Rattus norvegicus: one gene and its partners. The protein of the gene in region 1 purifies or fractionates together with the protein of each later gene. This does not show direct contact. Links are inferred from orthologs where the notes say so. Each region holds a gene or a part of one and is shown in the gene's direction. Other genes may lie near its edges. The genes, in order: Dcaf4, Cul4b and Cops6.

Region 1 (3,648 bases):
ACCTTGCTCATGTGGTCCAGACTGGCCTTGAGCTTCTGAACTCGAGCCATCTCCCCACAGCTGGTGGGAACAGGTGACAGACACACCTGCATGGCACTCAGGTGTCTGGCCATGGTGTCCATGCCCTCCCGTTTCTGTCTCCCTGTCCAGTCTCTCCCACGAGCTTCGGGTGGCCTGCATGGAGAGGAAAAAGGTAGAGATTCAGAGCTCAGACCCTTCAGCTCTGGCGAGTGACCGCTTTAACTTCATCCTGGTGAGTGAGAGGTGTCTGTCGGTGTCTGTGGCTGCCATTTCTGGCTTGGTGTTGTGTTCACTAAGCCTGGCTAACAAGATGCTGATTACGTGGGGGAAAAAAAAGATGTCTTTTGGTTTGGTGGGGTTTTGTTGTTGTTTTTAAGGGGTATGTGTGGGTGTGTGTGTATGTGTATGTCCATCACTCACCCTTCAGTCCCATCCTGTGAAATAAACCTGGGTCTGGCCACATACGACAAACAGTGTATTCTCTCCGGCTGTGCACAGTGTGGGCAGGATCCAGGTGCCATCAGCTGCAGCATGGTGGGTTCCTTCGCTCAATGTCCCTGACTTCAGTGGCAGGGCCGTTCGTACCTCCATCACACTATTTATTGGAAGTGGAAAGTCTCTGTATTCACTGAGACCTGGAGTGGAAATCAAGTCCAACTACCAGAGTCTAGGGTCAGGTATGCATTGTTAAGGAGCCAGAGCATGCCCTCCCTCTTCCATGGGCCCCCTGAGCGCTTGTCATCCTTCCTGGAGGCCAAGGGAAAGCCTTGAGGCTGAGATGAGACCATGGAGGCAGTGATCGGTTGGGAAGATGGGAGGCTAAAGTAGAGTGACCCTTGAGGCCCATGTTGAGGCCTCCTGGTCCAGGAGCCCCGACAGCAGAAAGAAGTATTGGGGTCAGGCCCCAGTCTCTGCTGCTCAGCCCTCCTGAGGGCCTGGTGACGGGACAGCAGGCACTTTGCTGCCATGGGTCCCCTCGAGCTCCTTCCCTAGCAATGTGCCTGTGGTAGAGCAGCCGTCCTGTGACCCAGCATCCCATGTGACCAGCTGGGTAGTACCCAGAGCCAGCCAGAGGACTGGGAAGGTGTTTTGACCCACTTGATTCCCATCATTGGTGGGTACATCCAGGCACATAACTCTTCAAGACTGTAGGAGGAATTTCACCAGTGTGTGTGTCTGTTTAGACTTTTATCAGAGGAAACTTAACGGGGCTTTTTAAGACAAGGAAACTCTACTTCAGCCTGGCTCACACTCAGTTCCCCTGCCATAATTAGCTTCCTGAGTGTTGGGATTACAGGTCGGTCCTTTGTTGTATATTTAAATTAAATGAGGCAGGGTCTCACTATGTAGCTGTCTAGGACTCAGAGCTCTTTGTGGGTTTTATGGTGGCCACATGGTATGGTCCTCCCAGACTTGTTTCTGAGGTGGTCACTAAGGTCACCAGACTTCCTGGTCAGGCCCTCATTTTGCCATCTTTTCAGTGCCTCAGAGATGGCAGGGCAGACTCTGGGAGATCACTTTGCTGGAGTGTAGTCACCGAGTGGGAGCTAAGGTGGGTCCCTGCCTTACTCCTTCATGGAGAGGAGCTTAGGCAGCCCACATGAGAGATCACCTGCAGCCTGTTTCCCTCCAGGCAGACACTACCAGTGACCGCCTCTTCACGGTGAATGACGTCAAAATCGGAGGCTCCAAGTACGGCATCATCAGCCTGCAGGGTCTGAAGGCCCCCACGTTCGAGGTGCACATGCACGAGAACCTGTACTTTACCAACAGGAAGGTAGGTCCTGTCTCCACCTTCTAGCTCTTGCCTTTGGACCTAGGCCACTGCTGTAGTTGGCTGAATTCAGAGAGGGAAAGGGAAAACGGCCTGGTGAAGACTGAAGGATCCATCTCATTTTCCAAGGGACAGATGGTTTGCTAATTCCTGAGAGGCCACGGGATGAGCAAGTCCCAGAGAGCCGTAACATCTGAAGAGAAGTTTAGGTGGTTGGGGTGAGCTCAAGGCAGGGTGCTTTCAGTGGCCATTCGAGATTCTTTTCTGAAGGATCAGAACTGATCTGGAGGGGTGTGGTTCCTGGAATACAGCCATCACAGCCTAGATAGGTTCCTTCGCTGGGCATCCCAAAATGTCAGGTACTCCATCTCATAGCCTTTATGTTGCATCTAAGGCAGTGACTTCCTGTTCACTAAGACATAAGCCACGAGCGAGACACTGGTAAAAATGGCTTGAGGAGCCCAGTGTGGTAGCTGTGATCTCACTCAGCACACAGAAGGCTGAGACTGGAGGGTCGCTGTTGGCCGAAGGCTAGCCTGTGCTACAAGGTGAGCCTAGCTGTACCTTTTTCTGTCTCAGAGGAGGCGGAGAAAGGAAGGAAAGAAAGAAAACCCTAAAGGGTTAACCTTTGGTTAAAAGTTAGGTTTGTTTCCTGGTCCTGTAAAAATAGAGGATACAAATAAATAAGTCTTGAAAAAACAACCAAAGGGCTGGAGAGATAGCTCAGTGGTTAAAGGCACTGACTGCTCTTCCAGAGGGCCTGAGTTCAATTCCCAGCAACCACATGGTGGCTCACAACCATCATAATGAGATCTGGATCTGATGCCCTCTTCTGGTGTGTCTGAAGACAGCTACAGCATACTTTGATATAATAAATAAATAAATCTTTAAAAAAAAAATAAGAGAATACAGGTCTAGCTTGGGGGAGGGGGCTGTTGACAGATACCTTAGCTTGGGACCCATGCTGATTTGCAAGAACTGAAGCCTGGAGTTTACTCCTTCCCGTTCCCCTCAAGACCTAAGAGATCTGCACAGGGAGCTCCACCATCCTCAGGATGCTCCTTGCAGCCCATTTTAAGAGCAAAACCTGAAGAAGGAAATCACATGTCAGATTAAGGGTGATTTAGTGGTAGAGTGTTTGCCTAGCATGTTCAGAGCTTTGCGTTTGGTCTCAGCATTGCAGGGAGTGGAGGCGTCGTGAGTTTGTGCCTCTACAAGTCTGTCCTTTCTCTCTTTCTCTCTCCCTTTTCTCCTTCTTCCTTCCTTTTTTTCCTCTTCAATTTTAAGGGACGTGTATGTGTGTGTGCATACCTGGGCACATGTATCTGTGTGTCCAGAAGAGGGAGTTAGTGTTCACGGAGCTGGGACCCAAACTCTGGTCCTCCGTAAAAGCAGCGCGTGCTGAGCCATCTCTGCGGTCCCTTCCAGCCGTCTTCTAGGAAAGCATTTTGCCGCTGTTCTCTGTGGTCAGCAGTCACCCTAGTCTCTCTCTCCCGCTCCCCGCAGGTGAACTCTGTGTGCTGGGCCTCACTCAATCACTTGGACTCCCACATTCTGTATCCTTCCGCAGACAAAAGGGTTTAGTAGACAGCCATGCCCTGGTCTGGACCTGAGCATCTGTGGAGGTGGCAGAGAGGGGTGTCTCACCTTTTAGGGAAAGACCACACCTGGGTCCACAACAGGGAGTCTCCATAAGGAACCGAGGTACAGAGGTGGCTGTTTCTAGGATGATGGTCAAGTTCCTATGTGCCAGACATCTGGGACTTAAAGTGTAGTGGCTAGGGATAGCGTTGGGCCCTAGAAGTCTGGCCCCAGGGTCCACCTGTTCTACTGCTGATATACGCTCATGGGTC
Region 2 (3,648 bases), on another chromosome or scaffold:
TTAGATACTCAGGCTGACATAGAACTTTATTTAATTCTTATTTCAATGTAGGACTACAGGCATGACCACCACACCTGACTTACCCAACTTATTCTGTTGCATATTTCCTTTTCGTTGAATGAATCATTAGTCACTTTGAATGTAAAGCTCAGCTTTGTTTTTGGTTTTTTATTATTCTCATTAGTATTCTATATATTTCTCTCTGGGTCTTTGGTAGACTTGGATACTTTTCCTAACTTCCTTCTCCTAAAGGCTGTAATAGGGAGCTTTATCTTTGACTATAAACATACTTAGCTTACACTATAGTATTCTGATCATGGTTTTCATTCTAGTATGCAGGGTATAATTCATTATTGACATACATATACTGTAAAAGTCAAAGTGTTAAAAAATAGCTTAGGACTGTGTGATCACTGCCATTAAGCAAAATCAAGGAGACAGGATATACATATAAAAAGCAAGAGTATTGATTTACTGAGGTGTGGTGGGTGGTGGGAGCATTAGGCAAATCTGTGACAGTGAAAGGAGTTACCTTATTTGGAAGAAGTGGTACCCAGTTTAATAGAAATAGAAAATGTGTATCTTGTGGGAAAAGATAATAGATGTGTCAAGAACTGTTTTATGAGATAAAGGAGAACTCAGAAGGAAGTAGGATAAATAGAATGTATTGAAGAATAAAAAATAGGGAAAGTAAAAAATGAAGTGTGTATTATGTCATTGACAACGTAAGTAGGAAATGAGAAATGCTTGAGAAAATGAGTCAGCCATTCAAAAAACAAGATACAGTAAAAAGTGCCATAAAGGGAGGAGGACACCCCATCTAGGATCAGTATGAATAGAGGAGCACATGAAATAAACAAGTTCACTCTTAGATATTTGTTTCCTAACCCCAGGTTACATGGATTGTAACTGAATCTGTCTTTTTCCTATTTGTTCATAGCTGTTAAAGCTGATGGGTCTATTCTCTCCTGTTGAGGATTGATGGTTTTCCTCCAGTGGAATAAGGAAGTTCCTTTTTAAGCTTTATTTTTAAAAAAAAATGGGATCACTGAACTTGCATTCTAGCAATGTGACTTCTAGCTACACTGTTTACAAAATTCCACTCAGACCAACAGAGTTTGGACTTCCCCAGTCCTTTTTAATGGAATGGGGTTTTTGTCTTCCATTGTGGCATGAGAGGAATCTTGGTGTTACACTTAAGCCATTACCAATTGTGGTTAACATTAGAGTGACCACACCTGTTGTTTTAAACTTGACTTTTTTGTTAAAAGGTTTATTTATTTATTATATATGAGTACACTGTAGCTGTCTTCAGATACACCAGAAGAGGGCATCTGATCTCATTCCAGATGGTTTTGAGTCACCATATGGTGGCTGGGGATTGAACTCAGGACCTCTGGAAGAGCACTGAGTGCTCTTAACCACTGAGCCATCTCTCCAGCCCTTTGAAAGACTTTTGATACACATAATAAACACAAAATCTGAACTTGTTAAGATTTGAGGATAAATTCAAGTATTCTAATGAAGTAAAAATATATTCATTCTGTTGTTAAGAGTATGAATTCTGGGGATTCAAGCTGGTTAGGCAAATATTCTACCACTAAGCCCAATTTGCAGTCCCTATTTTCAATTATTTATAAACTGAAAATTGGAGAAAATGTCATAGTGTTTAATTATATCACACTGGTTTAAACACTGCTAGCAATAATTTCCACTTTATTGTATTCAGGAATATCCAAGGAACTATTAGTTTTACTTGAGTTATAGTAGTCATTTCTGGCCCATCTCATACATACAAAACAGGCAAAATTATTTTTAAATTTAATGCATTCTGCTTATGAAAATTATTTGTAACAAGAATGCTTTTGTATGTAGTACAAAACTTTGCATGATTCTCTTCAGCCTTTACTTTTAGTATAGCCCTCATAAACATACAAATGTGGACTTATCTTGGTTTTCACCCACATTGGTCAATTTTCTTGTTTAATCCTGAGTGTGTCTGTGTAAGTAAAGTTTTCTAGGCTAGCACAAAACTCCTAATACTCCCGCTTCGGCATTCTGGGTTGATTCCATTCTTTTGCTTTTTAAAATTGACAAATACTTTATTTTCAATGAGCTGATACAATGTATAAAAAATCATGACTTCATGTGATAATTGAGACCCCTACCCCAACTCTCTCCTGTCCTACAAAATTACCTGTTTTATCTTACAGGCTGTAGAAAATCTTTGTTCTTACAAGATTTCTGCCAATTTGTATAAGCAGCTGAGGCAGATCTGTGAAGATCACATCAAAGCACAGATTCATCAGTTCAGAGAATATCCTTTTTAAAACAAAATGTCACATTTATTTATGTATGTATTTTATGTATGTTCTACTTAACATGTATGCCTGTATGACAGAAGAGGGCATCAGAGAGAAGAGGGTAGTAGACTCTATTGTACATGGAAGCAGCCATGTGGTTGTTAGAAATGTAAGGACCTCTGGAAGAACAGCCAGTACTCTTAACTGCTGAGCCATCTCTTGAGCCCCTCAAAACAAAGTATCTTAAGTTTTTTCATTACTCATTACCTCTCACTGCTTGGCTCAGTTTGAAATGGAATGCCTGTGCTGAAAGATTTATTTTTGTCCTCTTATCTCTGAAGGAAAGAACAAAGTTTTAAAACATTTCAGTGTCAATTATAGTTAAGATCTATACTTACAGTTTTTAAGTAAAAATTTCCTGTCATTAGCCTCTGTCCTGACAAATTTCTATTTGAGGGAAATCATAAATAAAAAACATGCTCAGTTAGGTTTAAGACTGGTTTTAAAGATACGTTAAGGGGGATCAAATTTGTTTCTGCAGTTTAAAAATTAGAATTGTGTTTTATAATTTGTATTATCAGTTTATGGGGTAGTCTATATTTTAAGACAAATACGTTTTATATTACACATATTACTTATATGATACATTTTAAAATATTCTTAACATCTGTCTCATGGATTCATTGGATAGTGTTCTTTTTCTAAAAAAGATTGATAGATGCTGGCAAAATCATTGTAGGCAAATGGTGAGTTGGAAACAAGACTGATTATTTCATTGCAAAAACATTTAGGTGCTAGAATGTTTGGATATCTTGTTGGACGTATTGGGATACAGCTGGTGGGAAAGTCTGGTGTTTATTCTTTATATTAATGCAAATAGAAATCTTGAAACCCACTTCCCACCTCCTAAACACCATGGGTACAAGTTTAAGAGAGTTTTACCCCCTAGCACTGCTGCTAAGAAAGACTAAGTGTACCTTAGATTCCCTCTTTTTTTTTTCTGAGACAAGATCTCATTGTGTAGTACAGACTGGCCCGAAATTTCAAGATCTTTCTGTCTTAGGCTCTTGAGTTGCTGGGATTATAGGCATATGTCCCATGCCTACCTCCAGTTTTTCTTTTTAGTTATTTAAGTAGCAAAGATCTCAGAGGACCATCTTAATTCTGTGTTCTCTAGAAACCACAAGAAGGATTAATAGATTAGTTTAAAAATAAATATATGGGACATATTCTCAGCTAGATATATTTGTTTGCAAGTTGGATCCTATTAGCCTATTTAATATAAAATTTTCCAAATTCTCATTAAGAGCTAATATTGTAGTTTCAAATTTACAAAAATTGCTTG
Region 3 (4,346 bases), on another chromosome or scaffold:
GGAAGGAAGGAAGAAAAACAGGCTGTTATTGGCCCCAAATGAATGACTGTGGGCCAAATGCTCTTTCTTGACTTTTTTTTTTTTTTAAAGATTTATCTATTACATATTACAAGTACACCATATCTGTCTTCAGACACACCAGAAGAGGGCATCAGATCTCATTATAGATGGTTGTGAGCCACCATGTGGTTGCTGGGATTTGAACTCAGGACCTCTGGAAGAGCAGTCAGTGCTCTTAACTGCTGAGCCATCTCTCCAGTCCCTTTTTCTTGACTATTAAAGGAGGTTGCTTAGCCTCAGTTATTGATCCAAGTGGGAAACATACTTGTCTTAATCACTGTTCTATTGCAGTAAAGAGACACCATGACCAAGGCAACTCTCCCCCAACCCCTATATTGTGAGAGTTTGTGTAACCTTGGCTGTGATGGAATTCACTTTGTTGGCCAGGCTGGCCTTGAACTCAAGAAATCTGCCTGTCTCTGCCTCGCTAAGTGCGAGGATTAAAGGCATGGGCCACAAGCCTTCCCAGTAGCAGTCACTAGGTTGTGTAGAATCAAGTTGCCTTGCAACTGAAGAAGCAGCTGAACAGTTGGAGTAATCCACTGGGGAGACGGCTCGGGGGATAAAGTGCTTGCTTTGTAAGTGTTAGGAACCGACTTTAGATCCTCAGTTCACCGTTTCAATATTTTTATTTATTTGTTTTATATGAGTACACTGTTGCTGCCTTCAGACCCACCAGAAGAGGGCATCAGATCTCATTACAGATGGTTGTAAGCCACCATGTGGTTGCTGGGAATTGAACTCAGGACCTCTGGAAGAGCAGTCAGTGCTCTCAACCACTGAGCCATCTCTCCAGCCCCCCTGCTCACCGTTTTAAAAACAAGGCAGGCTGGGCACGCTGCACACCTTGAATCTCAGCACTCAGGAAGTAGAGGCAGGTAGATCTCTTTGAGTTTGAACTCAGCCTAGATGAATAGCAAGTTCCCAGCCAGCTGGGCAACACGGTTAGACCGCAGTTCAACAAACAAGTGACCATGTCACTATAGATTATATGCAACGTGAAAAATGTTATATCCTTAATAAATTACAGCGTTTCCTCTTTTTGATCGCAATTTTCTCTGCGTCTAGTATTGACAAAGTATCCCCTTTGAGACCTGGAAACTAACAGCCCTACTTGGGAGGTAAAGGCAAGAGACCAAAAGTTCAAAGTCATTCTTAGATACACAATACAGAACTCATGGCCAGGCCGGTTTTCATGAGAACCGGTAGCAGCAACACAACACAACACAACACAACACAACACAACACAACACAACACAACACAACACAACACAACACAACACAACACAACACAACACAACACAACACAACACACTGAGAACCATGGGCTACCAAGTACTGGCAGACGCCCCGCCCATTAGCAACACAGAGTACACACTGAGCATGCGCCGCTCGCCGACGGAAGCCGAGATGGAAAGGGGCGGGCCGTGGCTGGCGGGCGCGGGGAAAATGGCGGCGGCGGCGGCGGCGGCTGCGGCGGCGGCGGCGGCGGCGGCGAACGGGAGCGGAGGCAGCAGCGGCATGGAGGTGGATGCAGCAGGTAACGGGGTGCAGGGAACGACTTCTGGAGTCGCCCTTGCGGAGTGTCTTGAGTACTTCTTAAGCCCGGGAGAAGCGACATCTCTCCCAGGATAACTTGAGGGCAGGGATGAACGGCCCGGCTCTACCGGTCCTCTGCTCCCATGTCTAGGGGAGAATGTGTGGGCCCGAACTCTCACCCGCTATGTTTTTCTTTCACTTTTAACAGTCCCCAGCGTGATGGCCTCCGGAGTGACTGGGAGTGTTTCCGTCGCTCTTCATCCCCTTGTCATCCTCAACATCTCAGACCATTGGATCCGCATGCGCTCCCAGGAGGGGCGGCCTATGCAGGGTGAGTGTTGTGTGTAAATCTCAAAATTTCCTCTTGGAGATCTCCTCTTGGAGATCTCCTCCAGTCCCTCCCCCCGCCCCCTTTTCCAAATTACTGTTTCCCCAGTCATTAATACACACTGACTTCAGAGTCTCGGGAAAGGTTTTCGATGCTTGAACCTCACCTATTTTCCTTGCACTTCTGCTTCTCTCTCCTTAGTGATTGGGGCTCTGATCGGGAAGCAGGAGGGGCGAAATATCGAAGTGATGAACTCCTTTGAGCTGCTGTCTCACACCGTGGAAAAGAAGATTATCATTGACAAAGAATATTATTACACCAAGGAGGAGCAGTGTGAGAAGGGAATAGAAGTGGGCGGGAAGGAGAAGTGGGGAGATTTTTGTTTTGTATTTAGAATAGAAAGGTATAGTTATGCTAAACTGACCCAAAATTTGAGGGAGGGAGGAAGGGAAAAGCCGGTAAGGAAACACACCAGGTCCATCAAACTCAGGAAGAGAGGTTTAAAGAAATATTTACTCTGGCCCCTTCTTCTCCAGTTAAACAGGTTTTCAAGGAGCTGGAGTTTTTGGGTTGGTATACCACAGGGGGGCCACCTGACCCCTCAGACATCCACGTCCATAAGCAGGTATAAAAGCTCACATGTGTGCATGTTGGGGAAGAGAACAGAAGGTTATGGGAAGAAGAGATACTGACTTTTTTTGGGCTTTGTCTTCTAGGTTTGCGAGATAATTGAGAGTCCTCTCTTTCTGAAGTTGAACCCTATGACCAAGCACACAGATGTGAGTATTGTTGACCCTATGACCCCTTTGTCTTGATCATCTGCCCCTATATGCCTCTGCTCTGATTTACTCTGTGACATCATGTGTATTAGAGAACGCTTGAGTTGAATCTCCACGCTGCTGTTTACTTACGCCCATCAGTTGTGTAACTTCATCTCTTCAGTGGTGTCGCCATATGTAATGTGGGTAAAACTTACTCCAGTAGAGAGAAAATTGTGAGCTAAGTGTGGCAACAACACTTGTAATCAATTTTAGCACTCAGGAGATTGAGGCAAGAGAATTGTGAGTTCAAAACCAGCCTGGCAAGTTCAAGTGCATTTGCTTCTAGTAAGAGCTGTTCTCTTGTCTCCGTCTGTTTTTACAGCTGCCTGTCAGCGTTTTTGAGTCTGTCATCGATATAATCAATGGAGAGGTAATAGTTACCCTGCAATCTTCAAATCCTGCTTTAGCCTGTCTCCTAAATGCTGTGCACATGTGCACAGGCATGGGGCAACCCTGGGTGTTTGTCGTAGCTTTCTACCTGGAGACAGAATCTCGTGTTTGCCAGGCTGGTTGACCTGTGAGCTTCTGGGATTTGTCTTCACTTCCCATTTTGCTGTAGAAGTTCTGGGATTATAGACACATGCTGCCACATCTTGATCCTTAGTCTCGTGCAGCAAGCGCTCTACCCACTGAGCCGTCTGCCCAGCCCTGTTTCCTTGCTGAGAACCCTTTACTCTGCAGGCCACAATGCTGTTTGCTGAACTCACTTACACTCTGGCCACTGAGGAAGCTGAACGTATCGGTGTAGACCATGTGGCCCGGATGACAGCTACAGGCAGTGGGGAGAACTCCACTGGTAAGGGGGTTGAATTCAGTTCTTTGGAGGTATGGGTTGGGTGTGGCCACTTGCTACCTTTCATTTGTCCTGTCCCCCTGCAGTGGCTGAACACCTCATAGCTCAGCACAGCGCCATCAAGATGCTGCACAGCCGTGTGAAGCTCATTTTAGAGTACGTCAAGGCCTCTGAAGCAGGTAGGAGAGGTACCTCACCTTTAACCATCTTTCCTCCCTCCTGGAGAAGTGACAACATCCACATCAGTGCAGCCTCATTGTGCCCTTAGGAGAGGTTCCCTTCAACCATGAGATCCTGCGGGAGGCCTATGCCCTATGCCACTGTCTTCCAGTTCTCAGCACTGACAAGTTCAAGACAGACTTTTATGATGTGAGTGTTAATACCCTTGATGGGGAGGTGGGGCTCACAACCACCTCAGGCAGGTGAAACTCAGTGTCATTGGCTAATATGAGGGACCCCTGGGGAACTGGTTCTTTCTGTTCCCTCCCAGCAATGCAATGACGTGGGGCTTATGGCCTACCTCGGCACCATCACCAAAACGTGCAACACAATGAACCAGTTTGTGAACAAGTTCAACGTCCTGTATGACCGACAAGGCATCGGCAGGCGGATGCGGGGACTGTTTTTCTGATGAGGGCTCTTGGAAGGGATGCTGTATGGGGCTCAGACAACTGTGCCACGGGACTGAGCACTTTCCCCTTAGAGAAACTCACTAATAAAGAACAGCCCCTTAGCAGCCCTTCCAGTGGCTTTGTCCTCTCAGGCACAATGGTTTCTCACCTGGACTCTTCAGACAGGACCCACT

The links.
Region 2: the proteins of Dcaf4 (region 1) and Cul4b purify together in Homo sapiens (affinity purification with mass spectrometry; 9 studies listed by BioGRID and IntAct, counting the BioPlex papers as one, with this or other methods). This does not show direct contact. The link is inferred for Rattus norvegicus from reciprocal best matches to the Homo sapiens genes DCAF4 and CUL4B.
Region 3: the proteins of Dcaf4 (region 1) and Cops6 purify together in Homo sapiens (affinity purification with mass spectrometry; 4 studies listed by BioGRID and IntAct, counting the BioPlex papers as one, with this or other methods). This does not show direct contact. The link is inferred for Rattus norvegicus from reciprocal best matches to the Homo sapiens genes DCAF4 and COPS6.

The regions. Positions count from the first base shown.
Region 1 is NC_086024.1:108,902,873-108,906,520, forward strand, and holds part of Dcaf4 (DDB1- and CUL4-associated factor 4), read left to right. Parts: intron 1-150; coding exon 151-253; intron 254-1,654; coding exon 1,655-1,798; intron 1,799-3,301; coding exon 3,302-3,351; intron 3,352-3,648. UniProt on the Homo sapiens protein: May function as a substrate receptor for CUL4-DDB1 E3 ubiquitin-protein ligase complex.
Region 2 is NC_086039.1:122,171,719-122,175,366, reverse strand, and holds part of Cul4b (cullin-4B), read left to right. Parts: intron 1-2,213; coding exon 2,214-2,317; intron 2,318-2,979; coding exon 2,980-3,049; intron 3,050-3,648.
Region 3 is NC_086030.1:22,151,220-22,155,565, forward strand, and holds Cops6 (COP9 signalosome complex subunit 6), read left to right. Parts: upstream 1-1,468; 5' UTR 1,469-1,470; coding exon 1,471-1,600; intron 1,601-1,807; coding exon 1,808-1,930; intron 1,931-2,128; coding exon 2,129-2,260; intron 2,261-2,463; coding exon 2,464-2,552; intron 2,553-2,643; coding exon 2,644-2,706; intron 2,707-3,070; coding exon 3,071-3,118; intron 3,119-3,429; coding exon 3,430-3,544; intron 3,545-3,627; coding exon 3,628-3,720; intron 3,721-3,809; coding exon 3,810-3,910; intron 3,911-4,031; coding exon 4,032-4,172; 3' UTR 4,173-4,308; downstream 4,309-4,346. UniProt on the Homo sapiens protein: Component of the COP9 signalosome complex (CSN), a complex involved in various cellular and developmental processes.